3 linked regions of the Saccharomyces cerevisiae S288C genome follow. The gene in region 3 interacts genetically with the main gene of each other region. Each region holds a gene or a part of one and is shown on either strand. Other genes may lie near its edges.

What was found. Genes that interact genetically often act in the same process or in processes that back each other up.
Region 1: mutations in TMA17 (region 3) and MYO3 together harm fitness more than expected from each alone (negative genetic interaction), as found in Saccharomyces cerevisiae (2 studies listed by BioGRID).
Region 2: mutations in TMA17 (region 3) and CLD1 together harm fitness more than expected from each alone (negative genetic interaction), as found in Saccharomyces cerevisiae (2 studies listed by BioGRID).

The regions. Positions count from the first base shown.
Region 1 is NC_001143.9:195,629-201,726, reverse strand, and holds MYO3 (myosin 3), read left to right. Parts: upstream 1-1,559; coding exon 1,560-5,378; downstream 5,379-6,098. Other genes in the region: PMU1 (putative phosphomutase), read left to right, coding at 1-843; SHE2 (She2p), read left to right, coding at 5,699-6,098. UniProt on the Saccharomyces cerevisiae protein: One of two redundant type-I myosins implicated in the organization of the actin cytoskeleton. Required for proper actin cytoskeleton polarization and for the internalization step in endocytosis.
Region 2 is NC_001139.9:711,846-715,766, forward strand, and holds CLD1 (carboxylic ester hydrolase), read left to right. Parts: upstream 1-1,863; coding exon 1,864-3,201; downstream 3,202-3,921.
Region 3 is NC_001136.10:261,876-268,529, forward strand, and holds TMA17 (Tma17p), read right to left. Parts: upstream 3,090-6,654; coding exon 2,637-3,089; downstream 1-2,636. Other genes in the region: TRM3 (tRNA (guanosine(18)-2'-O)-methyltransferase), read left to right, coding at 1-1,350; exosome non-catalytic core subunit RRP42, read right to left, coding at 1,438-2,235; YDL109C (putative lipase), read right to left, coding at 3,383-5,326; TFIIH complex serine/threonine-protein kinase subunit KIN28, read left to right, coding at 5,823-5,850, 5,932-6,654. UniProt on the Saccharomyces cerevisiae protein: ATPase-dedicated chaperone that assists the formation of the RPT6-RPT3 ATPase pair, an early step in proteasome assembly.

The DNA.
Region 1 (6,098 bases), on a different chromosome or scaffold from region 3:
GAGGGTTTTCAAGGATTAGACTCCACGAAATATGATCACTTAGAATTGATTAACCATAAGAATTGGAAGGAACTGTATCATGCTATCCCTAGAAATACCAAAAATCGCCACTATAAGCTGTTGATTTTAGCTAGGCATGGTCAAGGTTACCACAATGCTGCCATACTGAGGTACGGTATGGAGAAATGGGACGCCTATTGGTCGTTGCTTTCGGGCGATGAACATGGAGAGTGGCTTGACTCTAAACTGACACCTCTGGGTAAAGATCAAGTTAGAAGAACAGGATCGAATGTCTTGCTACCAATGGCAAAGCAATTAGGTATGCTACCTCATGTGTTTTTCAGTTCTCCAATGAGAAGATGTCTCGAAACATTCATTGAGTCGTGGACACCAGTGTTAGCGGAGACGCAAGAATTACCGGCCGGAACTAAAATTTCTACACGCATTATAGAAGGTCTAAGGGAGACGTTGGGCTCTCACACTTGTGACAAAAGAGTGGCTCACTCAATGGCAGTTGACGAATACCAGGATTTCAGCACGGAATCGGGCCACACTGTACATTGGCAATATGTACCAGATTACCCAGAAGATGATGAATTGTGGCTTCCTGATCATAGAGAAACGTGTGCTGAAATGGACAAACGTACACTGAATGGATTATTTGAACTATTTAATCAATTGTCAAGCGAAGAAAAATTCATCTCGCTTACTTGTCACTCAGGTGTCATTCAAAGTGTCTTGAGAAACTTACAGCATCCTCCAATTTATAACCTGGACACAGGTAAAGTCGTCGCTGTCGTCGTGGAAGTACCAGTCAACACGGCCGATCGCGGCAGGCTCTGAATTTTCCCACAGCGCCCATTCGGGACTTTCAAATATGTGGGTAATTTAAATAATTTTTTATAGATATAATAGAGTGGATGGAATAAAACCCTTTCTTTTCAAATAATGTGTTAAGCACTTTGAGAAATGGTTGAACCTTTCACTTTGATCATCGCTTTCTCAAGCTAGGTGAGAACATACATTTGAGTATAAAATAAAAAATGCATATGTGAAATTATATGAATGCAAAGGGTTCTTAGTTCCTTTTTTATTCTTGTATAGTTTTCACCGCTATGTCCACTCCCTCTTTTATACTATACTAATCGATGCCACAGAAAATATAGGCTTGGAAGTAATAAGCCCCCTTCATATACTTTCGTACAAGAAAATGTAACCGGTACATTAAAACAAACTTCAGTAGCCTCCCCTAATCACTCGGCAGGCAGACCTACGATCTTGAACAACTATTATATAGTAGCAAGATGCTAGCTCCATCGCTTTTCTAACTAAAGGTAAACTGATCGATTTGCATTTATATAATAAACCTCGGGAAGAGCTTTACCGAAAAAGGAAACCGTTTGCTGTGACAAGTAAATATAGAGTAATCTATTATAAAGGGTTAAAGCAATCTCGATTCAATTGACCGCGAGCAAATTAACAACAATCCAGTTATAAAACATTAATTTGCTGATCACATTTGAATCAAAAAAAGTAAAGAGAAATACTTATAACCGTCAATGGCTGTCATAAAAAAGGGAGCACGCAGAAAGGACGTTAAGGAGCCCAAGAAGAGATCTGCAAAAATCAAAAAGGCTACATTTGATGCAAATAAAAAGAAAGAAGTAGGTATTTCTGATTTGACACTTTTGTCAAAAATATCTGATGAATCTATCAATGAAAATTTGAAAAAAAGATTTAAGAATGGAATTATTTATACCTATATTGGCCATGTGTTAATTAGTGTAAATCCGTTCCGCGATTTGGGAATATATACAAATGCCGTTTTAGAGTCATATAAAGGAAAAAATAGACTTGAAGTTCCACCACACGTGTTTGCTATTGCGGAATCTATGTACTACAATCTCAAATCATACAATGAAAATCAGTGTGTTATTATTTCTGGTGAGTCTGGTGCCGGTAAGACAGAAGCAGCCAAACGTATTATGCAATATATTGCAGCTGCATCTAATAGCCATTCAGAATCGATTGGGAAGATCAAAGATATGGTTCTTGCTACTAATCCACTTCTCGAGTCATTCGGTTGTGCTAAAACTCTGCGGAACAACAATTCTTCAAGGCACGGGAAGTATCTAGAAATTAAATTCAACTCACAATTTGAACCTTGCGCAGGTAATATCACAAATTATTTGCTAGAGAAACAAAGAGTTGTTGGTCAAATTAAGAACGAAAGAAACTTTCATATTTTTTACCAATTCACTAAGGGAGCATCTGATACATATAAACAGATGTTCGGTGTGCAAATGCCTGAGCAATATATTTACACTGCTGCGGCTGGCTGTACTACTGCAGATACAATTGATGACGTAAAAGATTACGAAGGCACGTTAGAGGCTATGAGAACCATTGGTTTAGTCCAGGAAGAACAAGACCAAATTTTTAGGATGCTGGCGGCAATTCTGTGGATTGGTAACATTTCCTTTATAGAAAATGAAGAGGGCAATGCTCAGGTAGGAGATACCTCAGTGACTGATTTTGTCGCTTATTTGTTGCAGGTTGATGCTTCGTTACTGGTAAAATGTTTAGTGGAAAGAATCATGCAAACCAGTCATGGAATGAAGAGAGGCTCAGTTTATCATGTACCTTTGAACCCAGTCCAAGCAACTGCGGTGAGAGACGCCCTTGCTAAGGCAATTTATAATAATTTATTCGACTGGATTGTCGATAGGGTTAACGTATCTTTGCAGGCATTTCCTGGTGCTGATAAATCAATTGGGATTCTAGACATTTACGGCTTCGAAATTTTTGAACACAACTCTTTTGAGCAAATATGTATCAATTATGTTAATGAAAAGTTACAACAGATTTTTATCCAATTGACTTTGAAGGCTGAGCAAGAAACTTATGAAAGAGAAAAAATCAAATGGACCCCCATCAAATACTTTGACAATAAAGTTGTCTGTGATTTAATCGAGGCGAAAAATCCACCGGGCATTCTTGCTGCAATGAATGACTCTATTGCAACTGCTCATGCAGACTCCAATGCCGCTGACCAGGCGTTTGCTCAACGACTTAACTTATTTAATTCAAATCCATACTTCGAATTAAGGGCCAACAAATTTGTTATTAAACATTACGCTGGAGATGTCACCTATGACATCAATGGTATCACCGATAAAAATAAAGACCAACTTCAAAAGGACCTAATTGAATTAATTGGAACAACGACAAATACATTCCTTTCCACAATTTTTCCTGATGATGTTGACAAAGATTCAAAGAGACGGCCTCCAACAGCAGGTGACAAAATTATTAAAAGTGCAAATGAACTGGTGGAAACTTTGTCAAAAGCTGAGCCTTCCTATATCAGAACAATCAAGCCTAATCAAACTAAATCACCAAATGATTATGATGATCACCAAGTGCTACATCAAGTAAAATATTTGGGTTTGCAAGAAAATGTTCGTATCAGGAGAGCCGGTTTCGCTTACAGACAAACTTTCGAAAAATTCGTCGAAAGATTTTATTTACTATCTCCAGATTGTTCATATGCTGGTGATTACACTTGGGATGGGGACACCCTTGAGGCAGTCAAGCTTATTTTAAGAGATGCCATGATACCAGAAAAAGAATTTCAACTTGGAGTGACAAGCGTATTCATTAAAACTCCAGAATCTCTATTTGCTCTAGAAGACATGCGTGATAAATACTGGTACAACATGGCTGCTAGAATCCAGAGAGCATGGAGAAGGTTTCTTCAAAGGCGTATTGATGCTGCGATAAAAATTCAGCGTACTATCAGAGAGAAAAAGGGTGGAAACAAGTACGTCAAGCTTCGTGATTATGGAACCAAACTTTTAGCGGGTAAAAAAGAGAGAAGATCCATGTCTTTACTTGGATACAGGGCTTTTATGGGTGATTACTTATCCTGCAATGAGTCTAAAACGAAAGGATCGTACATCAGAAGACAGGTAGGAATTAAGGATAAAGTTGTTTTTTCGATAAAGGGGGAATGCCTGCACTCTAAATTTGGCAGATCAGCTCAAAGATTGAAAAAAGTGTTTATCTTAACAAAAAAGACATTTTATATTATTGGACAAACACGGGAACAGAATGCTATGAAATATACACAAGATTATAAAATTGATGTCGGTAAAATTAAACAAGTGAGCTTAACAAACCTCCAAGACGATTGGATGGGCGTTATCCTTGTTAATAGTACACAATCCGATCCACTCATTAACACGCCTTTCAAGACGGAATTAATGACACGTTTGAAAAAATTAAATGAAAAGATAATGATAAAAGTTGGTCCCACGATTGAGTATCACAAACAACCAAACAAGTTGCACACTGTCCGCTCAAAGATAAGCGATTCAGCACCGAAATACGGTGACATCTACAAGTCAAGTACAATATACGTGCGTCGTGGACACCCTGCTAACTCCAAATCGAATAAAAAACCTAAGAATCCAGGTGGGTTGAGCGGGAAACCTATCAAAAGCAAAAAGAGTAAACACAAATCTACTCATAAGCATACACATAGCCATAGAAGTCATAGGGATGCTGCAAAAAAGCAACCTCTCCCTTCGCAAAAACCTGTGAATCCGTTATCTTTGGCAGCTACCGCTGCACAGGCAGCATACAATCCTAAACCGGATAAGACCGTACCAATAAAGTCATCTGCAATCCCTGCTGCAAAAGTAAGCTCGAAACACAGCTCAAAACCCTCATCGAAGGAAAAAGTCGCAGTAAAGAAAGCCTCCTCAAGCCACAAATCCTCATCCGCCAAGCAAAACCAGGTATCGATGCCACCTTCAAAAGGGGTTGAAAAAAATAAAGAACCGTTAAAGGAGACAACTGCAACTGCAACTGCAAACATACCAATACCACCACCCCCTCCCCCCATGGGCCAACCAAAGGATCCGAAATTCGAAGCTGCATACGACTTTCCAGGTTCCGGATCATCTTCGGAGTTGCCATTAAAAAAGGGCGATATTGTATTTATAAGCAGAGATGAACCTAGTGGTTGGTCTTTAGCAAAGCTTCTCGATGGAAGCAAAGAAGGTTGGGTTCCTACTGCTTATATGACTCCTTATAAAGACACAAGAAATACGGTGCCTGTTGCAGCGACAGGGGCAGTGAATGACGTTACAAATCAGAAATCAAGCCAAATCGACAATACCATTTCAAGTGCACAAGAAGGTGTACAGTTTGGAAGTGCAACAGTTGGACCCACTAGTGATAATCAGAGTAATCCGGTGGGGACGTTTAGCGACGGTTTAGCTTCTGCATTGGCAGCAAGAGCAAACAAAATGCGGGCGGAAAGTGCTGACGATGATGATAATGACGATGGCGATGATGATGATGACTGGTAATTAACATGAATATATAGATGTTTAGTCTCTTATAGAATGGTTCTTCGTGCATGCCTCTTAACATACCAAAAGTGCATTACATATACTTTTAAACATACTCTCGCAGAAAGTTAAAGTCCCTTTTTTTTTTTTTTTTTCATTTTTTGTTTGTATTTTCCCGTTTTGAAAAACTCCCACTTTAATGCAGGACATCGTTCAAAACAAGCTTTAAAGATTTGACAGTAAAATCCTCACTTTACTCAAGACATTTTTCTCAAAAAAAGAGAAAGCACAGTAAACCCTCCTTAATTTTCCTTTTGCATAATACCAGACACTTAAAAATGAGCAAAGACAAAGATATCAAAGTCACTCCTGGAACTTGTGAATTAGTTGAACAAATACTCGCCTTACTCTCCCGGTATCTCTCATCTTATATTCACGTGCTGAACAAGTTCATCAGTCATTTGCGAAGGGTAGCTACGCTACGATTCGAGAGAACTACTTTGATTAAATTTGTTAAGAAATTGAGATTTTACAACGATTGTGTGTTAAGCTATAATGCATCAGAGTTTATCAATGAAGGTAAAAACGAATTAGACCCAGAGGCGGATTCGTTTGACAAGGTAATTTTACCAATAGCTTCAATGTTTGTTAAATGTGTTGAAACGTTTGACTTACTGAACTATTATCTAACGCAGTCATTACAAAAGGAAATTTTATCTAAAACTTTGAACGAGGACC
Region 2 (3,921 bases), on a different chromosome or scaffold from region 3:
AGTTGTCAAGAAAATAAACGATAACGCCTACGAACTAGATTTAAACTCTCACAAGAAAAAGCACAGAGTTATTAATGTACAATTCCTGAAAAAGTTTGTATACCGTCCAGACGCGTACCCAAAGAATAAACCAATCAGCTCCACTGAAAGAATTAAGAGAGCACACGAAGTTACTGCACTCATAGGAATAGATACTACACACAAAACTTACTTATGTCACATGCAAGATGTAGACCCAACACTTTCAGTAGAATACTCAGAAGCTGAATTTTGCCAAATTCCCGAAAGAACACGAAGATCAATATTAGCCAACTTTAGACAACTCTACGAAACACAAGACAACCCTGAGAGAGAGGAAGATGTTGTATCTCAAAATGAGATATGTCAGTATGACAATACGTCACCCTGAACGTTCATAAAACACATATGAAACAACCTTATAACAAAACGAACAACATGAGACAAAACCCGACCTTCCCTAGCTGAACTACCCAAAGTATAAATGCCTGAACAATTAGTTTAGATCCGAGATTCCGCGCTTCCACCACTTAGTATGATTCATATTTTATATAATATATAAGATAAGTAACATTCCGTGAATTAATCTGATAAACTGTTTTGACAACTGGTTACTTCCCTAAGACTGTTTATATTAGGATTGTCAAGACACTCCGGTATTACTCGAGCCCGTAATACAACAGAAAGTTCCATTTTGGATGCTCTATTTATGGGAATATGACTATACGAATGTCACCCACGATGGCCGGAGTAGCTGTGATGAGCATCTTTTTGTCCTGGGCGGCTTAAAACGTGAGCAAAATTGTACTGTAAATTACTTACGTTATCAATGGAAGTGTGTGAATTTCGTGATAAAATTATTGTCAGAATAGTGACTTCATTATTCTTTATAACTAACCATTAGGATCATATAAGTAATCAGATGCAGTTCGTCATTAATATGTCAGGATGGATAACCATAGGTAAGCACGTGATTATGGAAGGACAGTAAAGTTACCGATCTACTTTTTTGAATGATCAACTTGGTGTTTTCATCTATAAGGATATGGGTCGTTACATTGAAACTATAGTAAAAGATCTCGTTATTGGTATATCGGTCATAATGAAGATGAAATAGTCGGTATGTATTTTTATACCCCCCCCTATATGGTAAAAAGGTTAAGATTCATATTTAAATCTTCATTAATACCACCTCTAATTTCTAATTACCAACATTTTTAACTCCACTTTTATTATATGCTATATACAACATTATGTAAAAGGAGTATACCAAAAATTCTCCTTCATAATATAGGAATTCACAAAATGGAACCGATATCTCCGCATAATGCTATTATCATTTCTTACTCGTTTTATACATTGTCATTCATTATCTTATTGCATTTGCAATCCTTGTTTTCCGGCTTCTGTGAAATTTGACGACTGATTCTCAATTTTATGTCATCTTTTTACACTTATATATGACAATATACTAGTAGTATGAAGACTAATCAACGGAGGTTATTTGATTTCTATTCTAACTTATTTGAACATATATAATTTGTAAATTTTATGCAGATTAGACTTGGGAGTTATCACAACATTTTGTCAGTGTTTAGCCTCTTTCACCTTTGCCTTTTTCAGCCTTTTTTGTGTAAATTGATGGTGTAGTTTGTTTCTGAAAGGGCTCTTTTTATTTTTTTCGCTTCCGCCGTTCGTTATTGGATAATCCCCGAAATATGCTAGAGTGGCTGATACATTATAGAACATAAAAGTGAGCTGCAATGAGCACTCAAGCACGTTATTGACAAGGATAACGGAAAGGTACACTAATACTTATACTGATTAATAAGGGTTAGCCTTTTAATGTTCAAGTCAACTTTAAACTCCATAATAAGAAGACCCTTGAAAGGTTTTCAACTTCTTAGAGGGGCTGACTCATCGAATACACGGCCACAGTCCCCTAGAGCCTCCGCAAGAGATGTTACAGAGAAACAGATATTAAGAACTCCGTCAGCACCAACTGCAATACCATTAAGGGAGATTATCTATAGAGTCCCAAGCTTGTTTCCTCGCCCTTTAGAAGATTCTGTTAAGGACTTCCGAGATTTTATCAAGAACGAGGATGCATTCCAGACTGAACTTTTGAAAACGCTGCCATTCTACCCCACTCCTTCGGAATCAAAAACAGCAAGACTTATAAGAACTGTTGTTGATGATGAGGGCAATTACATCAATGAATTTTGCATACGCCCTCGAAAAACCTCAGTGCCTGAGGCTGACTTAAAACATCTGGTTTTCATTCATGGGTATGGCGCCGGATTGGGTTTTTTCATCAAGAATTTTGAGGATATTCCACTATTGGATAACGAGTGGTGCATACATGCCATCGATTTGCCTGGGTATGGTTTTTCTTCAAGACCTAAGTTTCCGTTCGAGTATCCGAGAGATAATATTCACAGCGTTCAAGATTGGTTTCACGAAAGAATACACACATGGTTTAGTAAAAGAAATCTTTTGAACCGACCTGAGAAAAACATTGTTATGGCACATTCTTTAGGGTCTTACTTGATGGCTTTATATTTGCAAAAATATAAGGAATCTCCATCTTTTAAAAAGCTGATCCTTTGTTCCCCAGCAGGCGTGTCTTATAGAGATTTCAACAATACTGCTTCAGAGGTTGAAAAATGGAAACCGCCTCCTTGGTGGTATGTCAAGCTTTGGGACAGAAATATCTCGCCTTTTACACTAGTAAGAAATTTTCGCCAGTTAGGTTCGAAGATTACAAGTGGATGGTCATATCGGCGCTTTAAGCACATTTTGAATGGTGATCCAGAACAGTCAAAACGGTTTGAAGCCTTGCATAGATACGCATATGCTATTTTCAATAAACGTGGTTCAGGTGAATACTTATTAAGCTTTGCTTTGAAATGTGGTGGTGAACCAAGACTATCATTGGAGCAGCAGCTATTCGATGGCAAAAAGTCTGATATTTTAAAGAATAGTAATTGTGACTGGCTTTGGCTTTATGGCGATGACGATTGGATGGATGTGAATGGTGGACTTAGAGTATCAAGATTCTTGAAAGAGAAGTTGAAACAAAAAAGTAACGTCATCATTGTTCCTCATTCAGGGCATCACTTGTACCTGGATAACTATAAGTTTTTCAATAATATTCTTACGAAAGAAATGCAAAAAATATAATGAAGAAATCTTGTGCATCTACATTATATAACGAAATTTTTACATACATTTTCGCCGCTATTTTTCTTCTTATCTCAAAATGAAATTACCGTTTGCAATCAACACCGGTCGCTGTTTTATTTTGTTCATAATAATAATTTAGATACAGCATGAACTGTATATTAAAGTCAACGATTTCAACAATTCATTTCTGTGTAACTATTTTTCCAATAGAACCACTGTCTTTATGGAGTAGTTGGGCTCTATAAAAATTATTTAGTTCCAAAGTTTGTTTATATTTTGTTTCTATAATAATGTATTGAAGATATAAACAAACATAATTTTACTGTTAACATTTAGGCGCAACAAAAGGACGATCTTTTTTTATTTATCACAAGTTAAAGATTTTCGATACAAATAATATTGTGGTTTAAGGTACGTCCAACTCTACTTAAATCACTGAATCCTTCAGATAACGAAATTACGAATAATATCTACTCTGTTTCTCCTTGTCTTTGTTCTTTCTTGCAGCCAGCCAAGCCCATTCGGGATCAGAGATTCAAATATCCCTGACGGCTGGTTCTGGATTAAGTTGATTTTGTGGAACTTCTGTCTTCACAATTATATTGTTACCCACTTAATGCTTCTCGGGGGTTAGAAACACTAGCACTTGAAAGAACATGAAAAATTGAAAAAAAAAAAAAACAATGCACAATAAATTCCAGGGGTTAGCGACTTTAT
Region 3 (6,654 bases):
GAAAAAACAAACGCACTTTATGCTATAAAGAGAACCGACGGTGCCGAAGCGTTACAGAGGTTGTTGCAGTGGCAATTGTTATTATTATCACTACTAACCACCAATGAAAAAAAATTAAGCGAAACTAGCATGATCAGAATTCTAAAGAGTATCGAGGATGAAAGTTCACCACTAGTAAGAGTATATAAAGAATGGTTCATTTCCTCAAAGGTTGTTGATTATTATAAAACTGGCAATCCAAAATTTGCTGAGGATTATCTCTTCTCATTGCTGGAGGATCATAGCAAACCGGTGTTTGTAGTTAGCGCAGAAAAAATATGCTTTATGGTGTTGAAAGATTTAAGAAACGACGAAAAGAAATATGGATTTACACAGTTACTAGACAGATTCATTTGCACGTTAGTTCCTAACGCAGCTTCAAACAAACCTCTGGTAAGGCATTTTTCTAATTCTCTAATAATTTCATTATGGCCTACATTCAAAGCCTACCTATCGGATCACACACTGAGAAACATCATTGAGAACTTATATTCCAATGCCAAAAAGACTCAAATATTTGGTCAATATCGTGCCGGGGATGCCAACATATGGGATCTGAAGGGTGATAGGAAATTAACGAACATGTTTGGTGGTGTGCTCAAAAAAGTTACCGACCATGATTGCCCGTACATTTCTGAGTCTGTTTTCGAAAAATATTTGCAGGAGAAAGATATTGTTCCTATAGGTACCGATGAAAGGTCCTTATGGCTTGATAAAAGAGACACCAATACGGAATCTGTTAACAACGCGAACATCTCCTGTGACACTTCTCCACTGCAAACAAAAAGTGGAGCTTGGGAAACCGTTCTGGATCTGGACAATAAAAAATCGAATGATGTCGTTACACGTTCTGAATTGATTGTGGTATCTTCATTAGTTGATAAGCCGCCAAACCTGGGAGGTATTTGTAGGTTATGTGATGTTTTAGGTGTGGGACTGCTTACTGTACAAGACATCAAAGTCAAAAACCATCCTCAATTTAAAAATGTTGCTGTGACTGCTGATAGATGGATGCCCATGGAGGAAGTTGCCCTAGATGAGATTGCAAGTTTCATGAAAGAGAAAAAGAAGGAAGGGTACACATTAATTGGGCTAGAGCAAACGGATAAATCAGTGAAGCTAGACAACAATTTCCAATTCCCTAAAAAATCATTGATCTTGCTAGGAACCGAAGCATTCGGTATTCCGGGGACTTTGTTAAGCGAATTGGATTTATGTTTAGAGATTCAACAATTTGGTGTGATCAGATCAATGAATATTCAAACGGCAACCGCAGTTATCGTTCATTCCTATACAGTTCAACACATGTAAGAATCAGGTTTCATTCCCACTTTTGTTAACCATGAAGTTTTTAGTATGTAAACTAATTTGTCTTTTTATCTAATTGTGACTATATTTTTATAAATTCTCCAGTGATCGTACTACGTCGGGGGCGTATTTCTCCACCATTGCAAGACCTTGCTTCAACAAATGAGGTTTAAAGCTTTTAACGTTTGAATCATTCAATGCTACTGATCTGATAGGTGATGTAATCTTACCATTAGACCAGGAAATGATTAGGCCATTATTGGCCACTTCGCTTTCGTTGGCTGCAGGGTCCAATAGCATATTGTTGCCTACAACGGCCAATATAAACACTAAAGGCGGATTAATGTCAAGCTTAACCATGTCGTAATCATGAAACGTAGGAAGTTCTTCCACCTCTAAGTCGTCAAAAGCTGAAATAAGTTTCGGTAGGTATGTGGAGTTCAACGCTGAATAAATAGCAAAGGATATTAAAGAAACTGGGTGTGAATGTGATGAAATGACCAGAACATCGACAAATATTTTGAAGCTGTACTTTTTTGTCAATTGCAACTTTGAGGAATCTACTCCGCTACCAGACTTCAAAACCTTGTTCAGTAAAGAAGTGATTGTCTCTACTACCAGCGCGTCATCTCTTTGGCCTGCGATATCTACATCGACCTGAAGTAGTTCATTCTCCACATGATGATCCACAACTTTGGACTTAATGCTCACGATACATTCACTTCCATCACTAGCTATAATTCTGGACGATCCATTGGAACTTGGTAGGAAGTCAGTAAATATTTCTATAGGTCTGAATTGATGAGGTAGTCTTCCATCGGGCCTAATTGAAGGCGTGCTTGCTAGTGAATCGTATAGGTACGACTTTTCGGCGACCGAAAGAGACATAAATGATTATTTCAACAGAATCTCAAACTGTCGTTGTGCTAGTCAAAAAGAATGCCTTTTGCCGTCTACAGACTATTAGTATCATTGTACTCCTTCACCATATAAGCTCTACGTTTCTTTTTTCTGAATATTAGAAAAAAATTTCGCCAACTAGGGTTCAAAATAATAGACTAGGGCACGGAAGAAAAGCACACCCTAGGGCTTTCGGAGATAAATTATTAATAGCGAGTTTTTTTTGTATTTACTTATTTTATTATTTCTTTAAGATATCTAGTAGTAAGGATAGAACGGGTAGATAGAATAGACAAATGGAGTTATTGAAATATTTATACGAAGAGATAGAACAGAGAGACAAAGAGTATGACGTGAAAATGATGCGCAGTAAAACTAAATCCCGTCTCTTAAATGAATATGCTGTTTGGTGTCACGACGTCCACATTTGAATTGTCCATGTCAACGTCAGGGCCCTTGTTGGTGTTGTCCTTTGCCTCTACCTCGTGCTTACTCTTGCCATGGCCCGTCTTTCTATATACCGTTTCTTGCTCCAATGCGTCCACTCTCTCATTGTAATTGTTTAGCACAATTTCGTTCTCCCTGACAGAGTCCTTGTACAGCGCCAGGTCTCCCGAATCAATGTTCTCCAAGTCGTCGCTGTCGTCAGCTTCAAGACGGTCGTCAGCACCCTCCAACTTAGCTATGTATTTACCCAAGCGGGCGTTAGACCTCTGCAAATGATTGATACTGTTCTCAATTTCTGTTTTAATCTGTGCCAACTCCATGTCGGACATGCCGCTTATCGCCGTCTTAAATTCTTCGATCTGGATTGGTCTTCTGATACCGCCTGCTGAGCACATTATGTTACTTGTAGTAGTTATTATGTTTTGATTTGCTTTATGTTTTATAAAGATCTTACCCCTCTTTTTGTCAAGAGAAATAAGCTTCTGAAGTATTGTTTTCCTGGTGAAAAGTGTCTTATTTATATGGAGAAGGGATATTCGGCCTCGGTTTTAGGGGAGGAGCTGAAGAGTTGTCCCGCTCGAAAAAGACCCGTAAGCGCATTTATCGAACTACGAAGTAAAATGGACTTTCGTAGGTGTGGACAATAGTAAATTGCAAGTCAATCCCGGGATGACGTCAAGATAGACAGTCAATCTGTCACAGAGGAATGCTTGCTAATCCAGGAGCTGGCGAGCTGGCTAGCTGTGGAGACTATTCCACCATGGTACACACTAGGATCCTCGATCTTGGTGAGCCATGAGTAGAACTTGTTTGGTTCCACCCCTCCGGTTGCCATGTTTATATCTTCCTCAGCAAACTGTTTATCTTGCATTGGTGAGGCGATTGGGTCATCTCTTTGGAAATGGGCGGTAACAAGGTGGTCAACCACCGGCCAGCCGTAAGCGTTGGAAAACCTTCTTCTTACGATGATGTTATTGTGGGCATCTGGTTTCAGCAATACCACGACTTTCCTCCAATGCATCCCCTTGTGCCAGCGGCGTGCTATGATTTCCTCCATCTCTTTTCTCGTCTTCCTCGTTTCGCCTTCCTTGGCTGCTGTTCCTTCATAAAGTGTTGGTGATGGAGGCGGTAAATTCTTTTCTGTGTAGATCTTATCATGTATGATTGTTGCGACCCTTGCATCGGGATCTGAGAAGAACTTTGCGTCGGGGCATGGTGATAGAAGCACAGACTTCATAGATTTGATGACGGAAGCATTCATCAAGCGTTTAGATTTCTTGTCGCAGTTATTTTCCTTGCTCTTCCAAAACGTGTTCCATGACGATGCATTGATTCCATCATCATCATTAGCAACATCGCTATGATTTGGAAGTTCCCCAATAGGACTTACTTCAGGCTGGAAGAGAGGATCACAAGGTGCCGTAGTTTGACCTCCCAGTTTCTGAAGTAATTGAGAGTAGTCCAAAAAAAGTAAAGAAGAGGAGTACAAGGGAACTATTCCGTCGTTGACGGCATTAGCATAAAGTGTTCTTCTTTTGAATCGAGCAAGCACACTGATTAAGGATTCCTCGGATAGCAGGTAAAGTAGGGGCTTATCACCATAATTTCCATCCTTAAGACCCAGTTCTTGCCCCGTAGTACCAATGATACCCATCGACAATGACATTTTTACGTAATTGGGCGTGCTGGTAGCAATGCCTAGCAATGGTGACGCCAGTGAGATAAAATTGATTGGCTCCACTTTCTTAAAGAAATATGGATATTTGGTCTTTATGTAACAAATAGCAAAAGTTTGTGTTAATCCACCCAGGGAATGACCAATAAATGAAATTTTCCCAACAGAGTCATCATATAACTCGTCGATGATGTAGTTTGCCAATCCAACACCCAAAAACTTAATACCCTTCTCAGTCTCACAAGCATTCTTCATATATCCCTTAATAACTAGTCGCTCATTTGGATTGTTCATTTGAGCCTTGTATATTTCTTCCATTAAGTATTCCATATCTGCCGAAACGTTTGATTGAAAACCATGCGTGAGAATGACTAAATGGGATTTTTGCGACATGTCTATGGGTCGTGGTACTTTCCATATATCTGCGGTGGTAAGTCTATGCACCGATAATCCTGTGTGTAAAATATTGCAGGCTTTATCAGGCAATGAATCATTACATCGTATTTTTCTTTTCAAAGAGGCCTTTGAATTGCCGACTACTATCTCAAAAGTTACCTTAGTTTCTTTATTAAATAGTATTTGACTGACAATATCCACTATCCATACATAGCGTGGCTTAATGTGGTGCAAGGACAACTCTGCAATAAACTTTTGTTGTGCCTGTAGGTTTGATTGAAATACTGGTTTATCCGCCGAACATATGATCTTATACGAGCTTTCGTAATCTTTTGCTCGCACGTCACAATATAAGATAAATGGGCCCAATAGATAGGCTGGTTTATAGGATAGCTTTGTGGTATTTTTGATCTTTACCCATAGGGAATCCAGTGTGATATCAGCGGGAATACTATCACCCTGGTATAGCTCATATGTAATAACGTATCTTTCTAACTCACCTAACTTTACTGACGACTGATTGTGGTATAGCACTTCATCAGCACTCCTGCCAGCTTCCATATTACTACCGTTTCCCCGATGTTTTTGGGTGAATAAGGTCAGGTGAGCATTTTTTGTACTGATATTTTTTCTCTTTGTTTGCAGACACAACGCTTGCTGTTAATACGCTAAAAACATACCACACTACCTTGAACAAATCCTCCAAGAGAAATTTGTAAGAATTCAGAAGCGGTTTCAGGGGAAGTCGGCTTAGTTGTCAATTGTAATTGAAAATCACCCTCTAATTTGAAAGATTTTCAGTTTCAATAAGACATCAATCTTGCCAGTTTGTAATTTTTTGGTATATAGAAATGGTCTTCAAGCATAAGCCTTAAGAAAGATTCGTCCATTGGATGAACCTACAATTTTTTTTGTGTTATGATGTGAAGCTTCATTTGAAGCATTGTGCAGAGAATATTACAAGTAGATTCAAAAAACACATTGAAAAAAAATACAAGTGAAATCACAGTTACTTAAAAGTCATCAAAAAAAATATTCCCGGCCTCAGAGCGAACATATGAAAGTGAATATGGAGTACACAAAGGGTATGTGGGGGTTATATATTGTCGTCTTTCTTTTAACATTCAATAATGATACTAACGTTGATTAATGATGATTCATCGCAGAAAAGAAAGTTGGTGAGGGTACTTATGCGGTTGTTTACTTGGGTTGTCAACACTCTACTGGAAGAAAGATTGCTATTAAGGAGATCAAAACATCCGAATTTAAAGATGGTTTAGATATGTCAGCTATCCGTGAAGTTAAGTACCTCCAAGAAATGCAGCATCCGAACGTCATAGAACTAATAGACATATTTATGGCTTATGATAATTTAAATCTCGTTCTGGAGTTCCTACCAACTGATCTAGAGGTGGTAATAAAAGACAAATCAATACTGTTTACACCAGCAGATATTAAGGCATGGATGCTTATGACTTTGAGGGGCGTGTATCATTGCCACAGAAATTTCATTTTGCACAGGGATCTGAAACCAAACAATTTATTATTTTCACCTGATGGCCAGATAAAAGTAGCAGATTTCGGTCTAGCAAGGGCGATACCGGCCCCACATGAGATACTGACAAGTAACGTCGTAACAAGATGGTATAGAGCGCCAGAATTGTTGTTTGGAGCTAAACATTACACATCGGCTATTGATATCTGGTCAGTAGGCGTTATATTCGCGGAATTAATGCTAAGGATACCTTATTTACCAGGACAGAATGATGTCGATCAAATGGAAGTAACGTTCAGGGCCTTAGGGACACCTACAGATAGAGATTGGCCCGAAGTTTCTTCCTTTATGACGTATAACAAGTTACAAATATATCCGCCCCCTTCAAGAGATG